2 linked regions of the Pelodiscus sinensis genome follow. The protein of the gene in region 1 interacts with the protein of each later gene in a pairwise test. Links are inferred from orthologs where the notes say so. Each region holds a gene or a part of one and is shown in the gene's direction. Other genes may lie near its edges.

Evidence for each region. The genes of interacting proteins can lie anywhere in the genome.
Region 2: the proteins of CTBP1 (region 1) and KLF12 interact in binary tests that used the Homo sapiens proteins (3 or more experiments, as listed by UniProt). The link is inferred for Pelodiscus sinensis from reciprocal best matches to the Homo sapiens genes CTBP1 and KLF12.

What each region holds. Positions count from the first base shown.
Region 1 is NC_134715.1:120,933,913-120,941,269, forward strand, and holds the start of CTBP1 (C-terminal-binding protein 1), read left to right. Parts: upstream 1-4,251; 5' UTR 4,252-4,527; intron 4,528-7,357. UniProt on the Homo sapiens protein: Corepressor targeting diverse transcription regulators such as GLIS2 or BCL6. Has dehydrogenase activity. Involved in controlling the equilibrium between tubular and stacked structures in the Golgi complex.
Region 2 is NC_134711.1:268,241,217-268,249,091, forward strand, and holds the start of KLF12 (Krueppel-like factor 12), read left to right. Parts: upstream 1-4,778; 5' UTR 4,779-4,868; intron 4,869-5,093; exon of another isoform or gene 5,094-5,527; intron 5,528-5,599; exon of another isoform or gene 5,600-5,770; intron 5,771-5,780; exon of another isoform or gene 5,781-6,494; intron 6,495-7,875. UniProt on the Homo sapiens protein: Confers strong transcriptional repression to the AP-2-alpha gene. Binds to a regulatory element (A32) in the AP-2-alpha gene promoter.

The sequences.
Region 1 (7,357 bases):
CCTTTGGTTAGGGACCTTGTCAAAGGCTTTCTGAAAATCTAAGTATAGTATATCTACTGGATCCCTTTTGTCCGCATGTTTGTTAACCCCTTCAAAGAACTCTAATAGATTAGTAAGACAGGATTTCCCTTTACAGAAACCATGCTGACTTTTGTCCAACAAATTATGTTCTTCTATATGCTTCACAATTTTATTCTTTACTATTGTTTCGACTAATTTGCCCGGTACTGAAGTTAGACTTACCGGTCTGTAATTGCCAGGATCGCCTCTAGAGCCCTTTTTAAATATTGGTCCAAGATTTAATAGTGCATGTATATGAAGCATCCATGACTTTGCTGCCCTTCCTGGTTAAGGTTTGGCTGCATTATTTCTGTTAACCTTTAGAGAATTGGATTTAATGAAAAACACATTTTACAAGAAAAAGAGGGTAGTTTGCATAATTTTAAAACTTTCCAAATATTCTTCAGTAAAGACTATAAAATACATTACATTTTAAAATGTTACCTAATAAATAACAAATGTTTTAAACAGGACTTTGTACCTCTTTTAGACACCGCAGCTGATGATGAAACATCCATTACAGGTTGTAATTAAATTTACCATAGAGTCTAGGATTGGCCACAACCAATCAACAGGATTTTAAGTTATTTATTCTCTCTCCACTAAGTGCAAAGTCCTGTTGAAAATCACATTAGTTAAAATGTGTTAGCTAGTTAAACTTCTAATTTACAGTGCTTGTCTGTGCTCTCATTGAGATGTCATAAGGCATCATAAGTTCTAACAACAACTGTCTGACAAATATTCCTAAAATACATAATTAATATTAGGAAAACCAAATGTGTACACACACAAGCCCAAATCATTGTGATTTATTTATGTAGGGTTTATTTTTATATTCAATATTGAAAATAATGTATAGTTGCACTTTGGTGCCTCTAGTCCATGCTACCTCCCATCACCTCTCACCCTGCTTCTTCCCCCAGCCCCCTGTTTTTGAGGTTCCACTTATCCTACCCCTGCTACCCTGAGATTCTTTCCACAGACTCTCACCCGACTTTTTGCCTTGACCTGGTATTCTGACCCTACTGAAAACAGCTACCCTGGTTTGGAGCCTGCCCCTAGAGCTCCGCAACTGAATCAGTGGAAGGACAAAGGGGTTGGGGAAGTGGAAGACTACCTGTGGAGCCAGTGGGCACTGCTAAGAGAGGCTGCTTCTTTGCCTTAGTCTCCTGGACAGAGATAGGGGATTTAGTGGCCACCACATTTGAGAATCGCTGCCCTAAGGGCAACTGAGTCTGCATGAATGGACATTGATTGACTTTATTGAGGCTCCAGGCGGGTATAAGGCTTTCAGTGGGTCAAGCTGAAAGATCGGAGCCTCAGGTAGATAATTTGTGCACACATGCACATTTACGTAGCACTGTTGTGTTCCTATCTTCACATAGCTATGAAATGAATACACATTTTGTAAAGATTCTTTAAGCAAACTTTTATGCTAGACTACGTGAATCCTGTAACTAACTAACTAACACTAATGGAAAGGAAAAATTAGCAAAGGGTGGATATTTTGTTGTAAATTATTAGGCCATGTATGAAATAAAGTTATTTAATATTTGATATATATTTTGTATGTAGTTTATTTTCATGTGTATATATTTAATTATGTCCACTAATCTTTATTGCACCATACTTTTGGTATGTTATTTTATGCTTAATGGTGATCTTCTACAGTATGCAAAATGACAGTACTTCTCAAACATAAAGTAATCCTATGAATGTGTGCAAAGTGAGCCAACCTTTGTACTGTAGAACTATTGGTGGATGTTTGTCAGAAATTAGCAATCAAAGTTTGAGGTTTGCTCAGTGGAAACAGATGGCTGAGCTACCATCATGTCACAGAAAACAGCATGCATTCTTAGTTTAACACAAGAGGGAGCATGTCTAATCTTTAACCTTTAAATATTGCAACTTCAGAAAGACAGCTTTAATTGTTGAATGTCAACTAATTTACTTTCTAGGTGGCATGGTTAAATATTTATACAGCCTATATGTGCATTGTTAGTATATTTTCAAATTAAGATTGTCGCAACTAATAATTCATGCAAATAATGGCATTCATCCTGTGTGGACTTAAACTAAACTAATCACTCAAATATTTAGACTTATGTTAAAAAATAGAGTGGTCAGTAACATGCTGAAATTTAAAAAGTGATTATAAAGTGATTTATCACTATTATAAAGTGATTATAAACATCCATATATGTAAATGGGTCTTTGGTTTAATGACAACTTGAAAATAAAGATTATTTTTCTTTGGATGAACTCCCCTTCCAAAATTTTGGGTCCCTCATTTAATTTGAAGGGAGTTGTGATTAGTGCAAAACAAATCTGTACAATGGTTAGCTCTTAAGTATCATTGTGTAATTCTTACAAAAGCTAGGAAGTATACATTTGGGGTACATTAAGATGAGTATGTATGGCCATAACTTTTTTCTTTCTCCCTGTTCTCCAGCTGGATGCCATAGACTTTTTTTTTATTTTGAATTTGTATTTCCAGATGTTGTTGATCATCCTTTTCAAAGCGTTTATTAATGGGAATGAACAGTTTGTTGAAATTAATGACTGCCATCCAACTATTTAATCACTTTGGAAAGTATACATTTTAAATGTTAAATACTCTATATATTTCTTAGACTAAAACAAGCCTTACTTTTACTCTGTTGACAAGTAATTATATACTTTATTATATTTCATATGGGCATCCATTTGGCTTTATCTCATCTATATAGGAGGATGGGAGATCTAATTTCTTCTAGGGCGGGAATTGTTAATAAATCATAATGTTGACATGGACCATACTAGAGTGACTTGTTGCGTACAATCATTTGATAGTGAGAGGGTGTTTATATGGGACAGAGAAGAGGCAGGGTAGACTACTTGGATCTCAAATACTTCTTGGTGTATTTCAAACAATCGTGGTTTTGGGAAGTTGGGAGGAATAATATTTTAGAGAAACAACGACCTGCACTCCCTCTTGGACTGTTAACAGGGCGCGTTTGAATAGATTTGAATTCACTAACTGCATGTTGATAGGAGAATACAGCCCCAAGGAATGGACTGTGGTAGGCTTTGGCTACATATACATTTCTGTAATTCATCTTTTGATGAGAAGAGGGTTTTAAAATGAAAAGTAATGCTTCAAAATAAGGGACTGATAGCAAAATGACATATAACATGGTGATATTCTGAGTTTCTGCATTAGTGAGGTGAGGGGTGCATTAGCTTATATGCATTCCATCGAACTGAGGGATAACTGAATGTGCACTTTGATTTTTGTCTGACCTGGTTTTTTACTTTTACCTGTCAATCCATGTGTTTACACTTTACAAAGAATGTACTAGTATTTGAATAGAATTCACCGCTTGACAGTTATTCTTTGGTCATGCATATATATGATGAACAGCCCTAATAAAGATGTTTATTAAAAGCAAAAGGTATAAAGTTGAAATTGTCCTGGCTATGTAGTCATCTATATGAAATAAGTTGTCTATCATGGTCCAGTTTCCATGGGTCAGTTATCCAGGCCATGGAATCATCACCAGTGCAATAGTTGACTGGTCAAAGACTGAGTAAGAGTACAGACTGGCTTGCCTTATCACCGGTTAGAGCAGCATTGTAAAGTAGCCATTGCAGAACAAGCACCTTACCAAGATGTTGAGGACATTCACCGGTCAGAAAAATGGTTTGCTTCCAACAAGTGGTGGGAGGAGAATTTTACAAAGCTGCCTCAGATTAGATTGGACACATACTGGCAAGGACCACTGTCTGTGCTGCCCAATTCTTTAAATAGACAACTTAATATCTCTGGAACTAGCCAATAAATTCACTTAACAGTTATTTAAAAGTTACTGTGTATTCAGACAGTTTTCAGATATTAATATTTATTAATGTGTTTTTATAAAAAGTGAAGGACCAGACTCTCATTGTAGAGCAAAGGTCTGTGAAATTTTATTTTTAAAAAGGAATGTTTAATGTTTTATTTATATTGGAAAAGTGAAAATAAAGCTTCCAAAGCTGCTAAAATGGGTGTACTTTTGTGCCCCTAAAACTTTTGAATAGTCACTAAATGGATTTTTTTAAATATTAAAAAGAAATAATATCACCTGATTTAGCTAGGAGCAATTTTTGTTGGCTTGAATTATAACAGCCTCCTCTCCCCTCCCCCCGAAAATGGGGGTTTAGAATGGAAGTGCTGACACAACCTAAACTATAAAGCAGTGCCCTCCGTGCTGCTGTAATAATTGCCCGTACAGTGTTTTCTGCTTTCTTATTTCTGTGCTCTGTTTCTAATTCACTATTTTTTAAACTTTCTGAGAAGTTTGATATTATTTAAAGCACACGAAGTGCATGGAATAACCTGAGGAGTAAGAGTGTTCAGTAGTATGGACTTGTTAATCTCAGCCTGATCTTGTCAGTAACAGCAGAGCAGAGGGAGAGAGGAACTCCGGCTGGGGCAGCGCTCCAAAGGTTTGTCTGTTATTTTATTGCTAAATTACATCTCAGCACCAAACTATGAAGTATGCGGAGTGTCGTTTGTAATCTGTAGATTCCGCAGTTGCGAAAATGTGTGTGGTTAGCTGTATTGTTTGTTTGCAACGGGGAAGATTTGCCTGTGTGTGTATGGAAGAGAGCGAGTGTGTGTTACGATCTAGGAAACGCTGAAGAAGAAGAAACCCTGTTGGTTCTCCATGCAAATGACCGCTTTGGTTGTAACAAAAGCCTTGATGTTGGGCTTGGAAAAATGATCTGACAGTGTAACAACCCCAGGCCACTTTCGCCATGTTTTTGTTTATTCATGTTTCATTCCGTTTTCCGTAGCTATCTCACAGATGTTTCCAATTTCAGTTTTTTTTATACCGTCGATCCTCCTTTTTCGGAGTTAGCAGTAAAATGTGTGAAAGAATGTTAACAAAACAGAGAGGTGTTGCAGATGTTTATACTTTAGTTCTTGCCTTGCGCTTGATGGTAGTATTGGCAGAGGGATACAGTACATATGAAGGAACGTCACAGGCATCTGTTTTAACGACCGAGCTTGTAATTTCTAAACGTGCCTATTATAACTTGAATTTTACCATAAACAGATTAAGTGAACAGGTTCCTGGTACAATATGTCCAGTTAGTGTCCTGTTTGGTTGTTACTATTTCTGGAGAAAAAAATAAAAATAAGAGCGAGGAAAGGAATATATGTGACACAACATGTATGCTCCTAGATAAACTCCTGCCATCTCGGAGTGCCTTTAAATATTTGAACAGCTTCTGTTAAGTCAAATAAAATTGGTTACCATGAGAAACAAAAAAGTCCAATAGAACAGTTTTGACAGACTAATGAAAACGTCAAGGAATTGTTTTAGAAATATTCATGAAATGGTAGTAGTGGGAAAAATCTTTTAAACAAAATTAATAGTAACACATTTAAACCTTTAGCCACCAATGAACCTGGCAAATGCTCTATTCCCCTCCAGAAATAACCTGCAGAGATGAATGATGAATCTTAATGTCACATCTACTGATGTATTGAAATGTAGTTTGCCCATTAACCACATAAAACAATTTGCTTGTAAAATTGCATGCTCGTTGAACATATCAAGACATACACACATAAAATCTTAAATGACAAAATGATTCAATGTCCTGTTTAAATCAAATGTGGTAACTATGGTGAGATGTAAAGTTACTTAAATCCTCACTTGCTATGCATATGTGGATCTCATCATCTCTCTTCATAGACTGGAGATTAAAGAGAAAAGGATTACAGAATCTAGAAAAAATTTTAGCAGAAGACCTGTAGCCCTAGAGTGGGAATTAACATTGAAGAGGCTTTTAAGGAGGGGCAGGATTGAGGTAAACATTCTGTTGTAGTATATTGTCATAATAATTTTAGAAATGGATCTTTCTTGTTGGTTCTGAATGATCCCCAGCCAATTTTTGTAAGTGATTTCATTCACTTCTGAGAACAATCTTGTATATGTTTATTATAATAATAAAGAATTTTCCTGCTCCAACAAAATCAAAGCAAAAAACTTTGCATAGATTTTTTTTTTCTTCACCAAATAACAACATGGGAAAGCCTGCCATTCTATGCATTCTATTCATTTTTTTTAGTTATTCTCTAATAAATCATTTTTCTTCATAGTATGAAAAAAGCTTTACGCGGTTTTCCCATATTTAAACATGAATATGATGTTTGTATAAATATTTTTTTATTGTTTTCTAATATTTGACCATATCAAATGGAAAATGGCCTATGTAGAGAACATTTAAATAAAACCAGAAATGTAATATTCTGACCAATCTTTGTTGTGGGAAAACTGTAGCCTAATAGACTGACCATGTTTCTACTCCTGCTTCAGCTGAGAAGTTAAGATGCTATCTTACATTTTTTACAAAAGTGATTCAGTGGATGAGGCAGATCATTTCATAGGGTGATATGGACAAGAATTAATGCATAATTGTTTGGAGAAAAGTTGATGATCATTTAGACTCTTGAAGGAATGGGTCAGAGAGAGGCTACTGATTAGCTGTGTGGAATATGTAGAGAGAGAAAAGAAAGGAATAGGCCACACTTAATTTCCATTATGGATAAATGGTGTTACTGTAAAAGTCACAGTAAGGAGATGTTTAAGGGAAAGACCTTATGAATTACATTACACATTTCTTTTAATTGTTAATCTATTGTGATAAAGTTTGGAGAAAACACTACTACTATTACAAATAATACTTTTTAAAAAATATATGTACATTTTAATGTACTGGTGGAAGATAAGACTTGTTAAAGTACACAGTAGAACTGTAGTTCATCATAGTCCATCCTGGATTTTGTCAATAACAAACCTTATAAGCATCTTAAATGTTTTATTGTGGCTTTTTCTTCCTCTTCTATGTCAAGACATCTTCTTGCTCTTTCCCTTCCCAGCTCCTGGTATCTGTTATGAAACCTTTGATTAGAAACTTTGCATTATCTCAATGAAAGAGACTTCAGTGAAGACTCATGAAACTGAACTCCTTAGATTGGAAGGTTGTTTAGATCAATGCTCAGAGTTACTTTGCTGAACCTGTGTATTCCAATACAAAATTAAAATTTAACACCGTAATTGCCATTCCACAAAACCATTTAAGAAATACCATTTGTTGTGTTGTACTCTGTGTGTTTTTTATTTTTAGCGACCAGTTCTTTTCAGCTTATAAGGTGTAGGTGTGTATATGATTTTTGGTGATGTGCTGGGTTTGTTTTTTGAGTGGGAGTGAAAAAAGCAGGTGATATAGTGCTATAGTTAAATTATTTATTTTTAGTTTAATT
Region 2 (7,875 bases), on another chromosome or scaffold:
TCCAATGATGCATTCCAAACTAAGGATTTTTGTTTCTTTGTTTTTAATTTAAGTTAGGAAGTGAAATCTGAGTAGAAAGGGAAAAATTTAAGGTGAACTGAAAATTCACTTTTCAAAAAATTACAGAATGACAAAGTAAATACTGAATGTCTCAAAACAGTAGGAAAGAGGACTCAGGGAGTCCATATATGCTTTAATTTAAATGTATCTTTGTTTGTATCAAGTCTAAATTGTCAAAATATGCTACTGATTTCCTGTTTTGACTTGGCTGATTCTTAGAGTCCAGCAAACCTGTGAATATCTGCACCTTCTGATGAGATGGATATCTGACAACCATTTCTGTGGACTGAAGATGGATGGAGATGCAAATTTTATATCTAGAGCCCTGCAAATCTGCAGATATCAACTTTATATCTGCAGATATATGCATCTGGCTGTGGATCCCAATTTTATATCCATGTCAGGTACTATAGTGATGCTCTCTTTTGGTGACATGGCACACTAATAAAGAACCTGACTGCACACAGTCAATTGAGGTAAGTTCTTTTGGAGAAAACAGTGTTCTGTATGGAAAAAGCCTGGAGCATACTGAGACCTTGATCCTGATATGACGTAAGCATGTGCTTAACTTTGAACATAGAATTAGCTAACCAGAGTTCAGTAAAACTATTCCTTGTAGAATCAGAGTCTAAAAGATAGCATAATTAAGGTGCAAAACAGTGAAGACTTTAGAGGACAACAGGAAAGAAATTTCCTTATCAGTGGCAGGGGAGAAACTTAAAAGGTGAAAGAAAAAGAGAATGAGGATGGAGGTTTCAGTTGATCTTACTTTTTAAAAAAATTAGCAAGCTCTGATGCAGAGAGGGAGAGCTTTTAAGAAGGAGCAGAAGGTAGGAAATAAGTGGCTTGGTAGTGTGGGTTTTGGAGAGAATGAAGGTGGCACAGCAAAACTTCCTTGTAAGGAATATGGAAAAACGGAGTGAGGAGAAAATGTATTTGTAGTGAACGAAGCACATGTAGTCTCTAGTGGTATTCAGTGGTCATTATCATCATTGTCCTTTACGCATGCTGGCGTATAGGGCAGGAACAATTTTTTATTGCTGTTTCCATAACAAAAGGCTTTTTCTAGGTAAGGGTTGTTAGCCCCAAGCCAAACCCTCAATCCTGGAGGATCAGTGTGCATGCTTAGTCCGGCTCCTTCCCGCTTGACCTTGCCGGCTTGGTTGAACCTACCAGGAACACTAAGCTCCTGCCGGCATAGCTCCTGAGATCATAAGAACATGCAAGCTGCCCCGCCCCGACAATGCGTATGTACAAGGGGCAGGATATTCAGTGGTAGAGCTGGCATAAACATATATATTTTTAAAAATTAATATTTCAAATACTAGTTTGTTCTACTGGGGTTTAAAAAGGGCTAATTTTCTCTCAGAATTTTATGTGAAAATATTTTATTGATTTAAGTTTTCAAAATATAAACATGTTGTTTCAAAATCTCAGTTTTTGAAAAAAAAGTTTTAAAAACCCTCATCAATTAGTAAGAAAAATGATGAAACACTCCAAACCCCAAAAATAACAAAAAATAGGCAAGAAAGGAAAATTTTGAGATAATAAACATATTTTCATGGGTATTTGGTTTTGAAAAACGGTAATATTTTTGGAAAATTTTCAAACAAAAAATGTGTATCCAGCTCTGATCAGTGGCAGAAGAATGAGAATAAAGGAATCCAGTATTATGAGTGAGTCATGACTGTGATTTAATAGGGGACAGACTTAATAAAAGTATGTGACTGAGAACTATATTTCTCTATATATCAGCACTATATATTAAATATTAATGTACATTATCACTATTTCTGTATCAATTTATTGATATATAATCATGTAATACATCTTGATTTCTATTGTAAATGCAGTCATATTTTTACCTTGGATATAGTTCTGCAAATTCAGGGATATGGGTAATAGTTCCTAGAAACAGGCAACAGACCACATAAACAGCAAACGTAGCACATAATGAAGTTGACAGAACAAATTTTATAACCACAAAATGTCAGCTCAACCAACTCTTCCTCTGGATGATTTCCTTAGATAAATTAGATACATGAATAAAATATTCTCAGTGTGATAAAATAAATATTGATGGTTTAAATATTTTATCAGAAATTCAACAGAAATGAGCTTTACCTGCCTTTCACTGCACAACAGCGTGTATAACATGATGTTTCTCTATTATGTACCTCATCACACTGTCTACATACAATCTTCTTCCTACTATCACTATTCATTTTTCATATGTCAAGTGCTCATTAACCCTTTAACCCCAGTGGGTGAAAGCCAGTGCTATGATTTTTCCTTATGTACACCCAACACAGGGAAATCGCTGCTCCTAGCACCAAGTGGAAGAATGAATGTAAATGCTTTTGCTTTGTATTGATAATTGTGAGTACATGATACAAGTCTATCACTGGAATGTTTCCAATGGAGTGCTATTATAGTCCACTTAATATGGACTAAAGACTGATGTTTAAAATATTGTGCTATAACTCTTAATTTTGACAATGGTAAAAAATTATTTTATATAATTTAATACATTATAATATATGATAAGATTTTTGGAATGTGTTCTGTATAAAAAGAGCATTATGAAGGAAAAGCTGCCATTCACTTTTTGAAAGTTGGTGGCACTACTATTTCTGATTTGTTAGCATTGCATACTCACTTTCCACAAGAGGAATTGTCTACATGTGTTATTAGGCAGTGGAGAAATAAGCCTCATCTCTCTCTCTGTTGTACATGTCTGTGTATAGGCATATTTGTATATGCTTAACTTTGCTTATTTGTTATCTTCCTTTCCTTAACAATGAAGAAAATGGAGTTCAGAACCAGTGACAAATAGCTGGTGACAATAACTAATTCTTTTTTTGCCAAAGGAAGCCATATGGAAGTGGTTCATGTTATAACAGTTAATGACAAATTGCATGAAAAGACACATAGTTGTAGATTACAGAGCAGGATGTAGCTACAACACATCATAGTATAAGGAAGTGGAAGCTGTTTGTGGTTATTTTGGCCTCTTAGGTAAATACTGTCTAGGCAAACTTTACTTTGTATATGCTACAAGCAGTAATATTTTGTAAGTTTCTATAAACTTCCCCAAAACAACAGGGAGCCAGTCTGGTTTCTTGTGTAAATACGCTTATAAACAGGATTGTTGAAATGTAGTTATATATTTTAGCTAACAAGTCAGGTAATAATCTATTGCATCTATTACAAGATGATTTGCCCTGTATGTTTTAATGTGTTATTCACCAAACGATTGTAACAATTGCTTTAAAGATTATAGGTTGGATTTTCTGGACCAGATGAGCTGCACTTGCTGCAGAACTGATGTGGAATGAGAAAGGGTGGAAGTGTCTTATGCCATCTGTACATCCCCTTGATTCTGGGGTTAACCAGGGGTCAGTTTAGCACTCAATTTAGAGCAGCCCTAAATTGAAGGGTAGATAGCATAGAACAGTTCTACTAGCTCTGTACCACGCAAGGATTTCCCTATACCAGGGGACCCCATTTAATTGATTAAAGTCTCTAGGTCGTACAAGGATCAGGATCTTGCCCAAAACACTCTATAGTTCAAGTACATATTTAGGTACATGTTTTATTTAAAAAAAAAATAAAACCTTACAATATCTTTTTAAAGTATATCCTGTACATTTTCAGTCACAGCTTCTCAAAATTTAACAATTTGGACATAGTATTTTTATTTCACAACATATTAAAGATTATTCTTGCTTTTTAATATATTACAATATATACAACATTTGCCCAAGTTTCTAAGTGTTGGTTATTAATTTTTGCCCTGTCATTATTTTAAATAAACTTAAAAAATAACAAATGGTCTGGTAGCACTTTATAGACTAACAAAATGTTTAGAAATAATTTCTGTGTATTTATGATACATGAAGAGCCTGACCCTGCAGTGCTTACAAATACAAATTTCACATTTTAGGATGTTTTGAGACAGAATTGTAGCAATGACACTCAGATTTTCCCACAGGATGTTTTACCACATCTTTCAAGAAAACTAATTTTTTAAATTTAATTACAACCCCTTCAAAGCAGCAGCATATCTATAGGAACTGTTTTGTGTTGCCATAAACCAAAAACAGGTCAATGGTTGATGCTGATCAACAGTGTTCTGTATGTCAAAGCTCAGTAAATAGTCTCCTGTCTTTTTAATTGAAGTACCTGGCCAGTGGGTCTCTATCAGCTTTCTTTTGTCACACCCAGTGGTCAAATTGTTAGCAGGCTAGAAGGAACATTGGTCGATGCCTAGTTCATTGTGTTGTGTTTTAAACTTTGACCATCCTGGTGACTAAGAGAGAAAATCTGGCAATTTTTAGTTTAGTTCCCGTTTTGCTTGTGTCCTAGTCTCACTATTTCTTTGAATGAGACACTCTTAGCATAAAAAACATCGCTTCTGAACCTGCCATTGTTATAAGCAACACACCTCACTCGGTACATCCAACCCACTCTCCTTGCCCCTCCCCTCAGCCAGCGCCTCCTGTCACACACATTCCTCAACTACCCCTCCGCGCCACCACCGACACCCCCTAGCCTGGGTAATCTGCTCTCATTCCTAAACGCCCTCCCATCTGGTTCTCACCCTCCCCCCTCCCCGCCGGTGTACCCCAAAGGCTGAGCTGTTCTTACACTTCCCCCTCCCCCGTCTGCTTCTCCAGCCCACCTCCCTCCCCGCCTCCGCCCGGCTCCTCCGCCGCTTGGCCTCGCGCCCGCTTAGCTCCTTATCCCCCGGCAGAGCTCCTGCGCCGCCCTTCCCCCCGCGGAGGCCGGGGGAGAGCGAAGCCCAGGTAGGGCGCACCGGGGAGGGGAGCAGGCGGCTTCCCAGCGCAGACGGGCGCGTGCAGCCCGAGGCGGAGCTTGTGCACGAGCGGCAAGGGCACGCTCGGAGCCGGTCCCGGCGCAGCAGCAGCAGCAGCAGCGAGCTGCACTAGCGCGCCCGGCGGGGAGTGTTCCCAGCCCACCTCTCAGGCCGGGGAGGGGCTGGCTGCGCACCGGGGATTTCAGCGAGCGAGAGCCGCAGCTGGCCGGCCCCGCCCCCTCTTGCTCCTCCCCCGATTGATTGTATTGGGGGGCGGGCGAAGGGAAGGGGGGTGCGTTACATGCCAGCAAAGCAGTTTAGTTCCTGCTGATCCATCACACGCTCAGAAAAGGGACTTGCCCGCGCGCGGGGTTTGGTTTGTTGGGGGGGGGGAGAGGAACGGGGGCCCCTTTTGTTTGCGTGGCCTTCTCCCCTCCGCTCCGCCCTCCCCTCCGGTCCCCCCCGCTCCGAGGAGGGCAAAGAGAGTAGGAGAAAGGGCTGCCTCGCCACCCCTCCCCCCTCGAGCGGGCCCCCAGTGCAATTCGATGCGTCCCGGGTAAGGCTCCCCCGCGCTATATTGTGTCCTCTCTTGTGTCTGAAGCCTCCACCCACTGGCCCACCCTACATTTAGCACATCATGTGATCCGGGTAAGTCATTTGCAAGTACAACAGTTCTCTGTGTTGCCCCCATTCATTTCCTGAGAACTGCATAGAGCAGCTGAGGGAGACTGTGTGTGTGTGTGTGTGTGTGTGTGTGAGCGAGAGCGAGCGAGTGTGTGCGCGAGAGTGTGTGTGTGTGTGAGGGGGAGGGAGGGAGGGAGCGATCGAGAGGGAGAGGGGACTGTATAAGGGAAAGAAAACAGTTTCTCCTGCTCTGCAGCTTCTGTTCAGGTCTGTGCCTATTCCATTTCTTATCCGAATAAACACCTTTTCTTTTTTCTCTTGCTGTCCCGATCAATCAGCTTTCAGAGACCATTGCATTTTCCGGTCATTAAACCATTTTAAAACGTTAGAAGGCTGATCTCTTGAATGGGGCAAGCATTGGAGGGGTAGGAGGGGGAAGCTTTTGCAAAACAAGGCTATGGGCAAGGCTCTTGTTAAATTACCAGTCAGAAGGACGTTTTCAAACCAACCCAGTCCAAACCAAACCCAGCTTTGTCAAATAATGCATGCGAACGTGTAGTTCACACGGAGTGGGGCTGTTTGGTCACGTAAGTGACAGTGGCAAGGAAACAAGGTGTCATGTTGAATTTGGGGTTTGCTGCTCTAGTTTGTCATTCCAAAAAAAAAAAAAAAAATCGGTGTGCATGTTATTTGGAGGAGGAGGGTAATGGGTTAAGATGGGGATGACACTATTTGGCATTAATAGTGGTCATTGTGCTACAGTCATTATTGTCTCCAGTAGTAATGATGTGTAACTGTCACTTGCCACAGTGCATAGTTCATGGAAGTAGCTGGGAGATGGCCTATGGCTGTTCTTTTCAATTAAGGTGGATCTAGCTAGAGTTGACAAGGGAGAACTTTCCATTGAGACCAGTCATGAAATGAAGAGTGTTGAGCGTCATCTTGGGAGCCACCGCAGCTTGTCTGTTATAAGCTTGCTGTATCCTGACGAGTGAGTGCTGACCTCAGTGACATTAGTTTGCATTAAAGCAAGAGGCTTCTTTGCAAGAGGAATCAATTATGATTTTGTTCATTATAGAGTCTACGATCAGAACTTTCAGTGCATGTTTATATTGAGGGCAAAAAATAACTTGCCAGATCTGATTAACAGTGTATTTAAGCTGACTGTTTGGGGGGGGGGGGGGGGCAGGGGAGGGACAGGAGTACCAAATCCTTTGTGCTATATTCCTTCCATCTCTCCCCTTCTATGCTTCTCTCCTTGCACAAAAAGCTTATAGTTCTGTATTTCTTAATAGTAATAATAACTTTAATTCAACTGATAAAAGCTGACTGTGCTCAGTTAAAGTCTAAGTACAGTGGAATGTGTAATCTGGATAAATAGTCTATGTAGTTGATATTGTCAATCTTACTAATTTAACTATTCAGATGATTAAATAACTGTTCTATACAGATAATTTTAAGAAATTCTAGTGAGTAATGTTGATTTTTTATCAAACTGATTATTAAAAAAATAAGTGACTGCTCTACTAGTTACACTCCAATGCTGGGGAAACAAACACTCTAAAATTTACATTAAAAGCATGTGCATAGAGCTGCTACCGCAGACGAGTGCCAGTCAAGCAAACGTCACCCTGTAAATCCACCTAAACCATTCCATTCTCTTTTCTTACTGGAGGATAGAGTTGTTTAGCCAAGTAATGATCTGACATGAAATGTTACTGATGACAGGCAGGGTGGTGCAGGAGTTTGCAATGTGAAAAGGAGTGGTCACTTTTAAATACTGGGTGTATTCCTGTTAGAATTTTTTAAACTGTCATTTACAGAAACATAATTTTAATTCAGTCTCAAGAAGCAGTCACTTCAAATATGGGTTATGTGGTGTTATTGTCGCCAGCTATTGCCAGTTTTGTTGATATTATTTTATGCATTTAAAATGAGGAAAAAAGTGAGCTGTTTTTATGTAAGATATTGAAGATAAACAGTTTAGTTCCTTTCATTTCTTATATTAGCCTTGTAAAATTCTACATGCCTATGGCAATTTTTCTTCCTGCAGAGAAGGCAAACCATCTCTTTTTTCATGATCAGTCATGATGTTTATTTTATTTTATTTTATTTTATTTTATTTTATTTTATTTTATGCCGTGGCAGGCAGACATTCGTTGCAACTTTGCAAGGGTGCTTTATATAGTACTGGTGTATGCCCTCCATTTTCTGGTTGGTCTCCAAGTCTAAAATGTTACAGGAACAGCAAAGTAGTCTCTATTGTAGAATTAGTAATTATGCTGAATATATTGGAAATGAGGGTGACATGGGTATTTTATTGATTTTATATAGCTATAGTAAATCTAGGCTGAATGCTTGCTTTTATATAC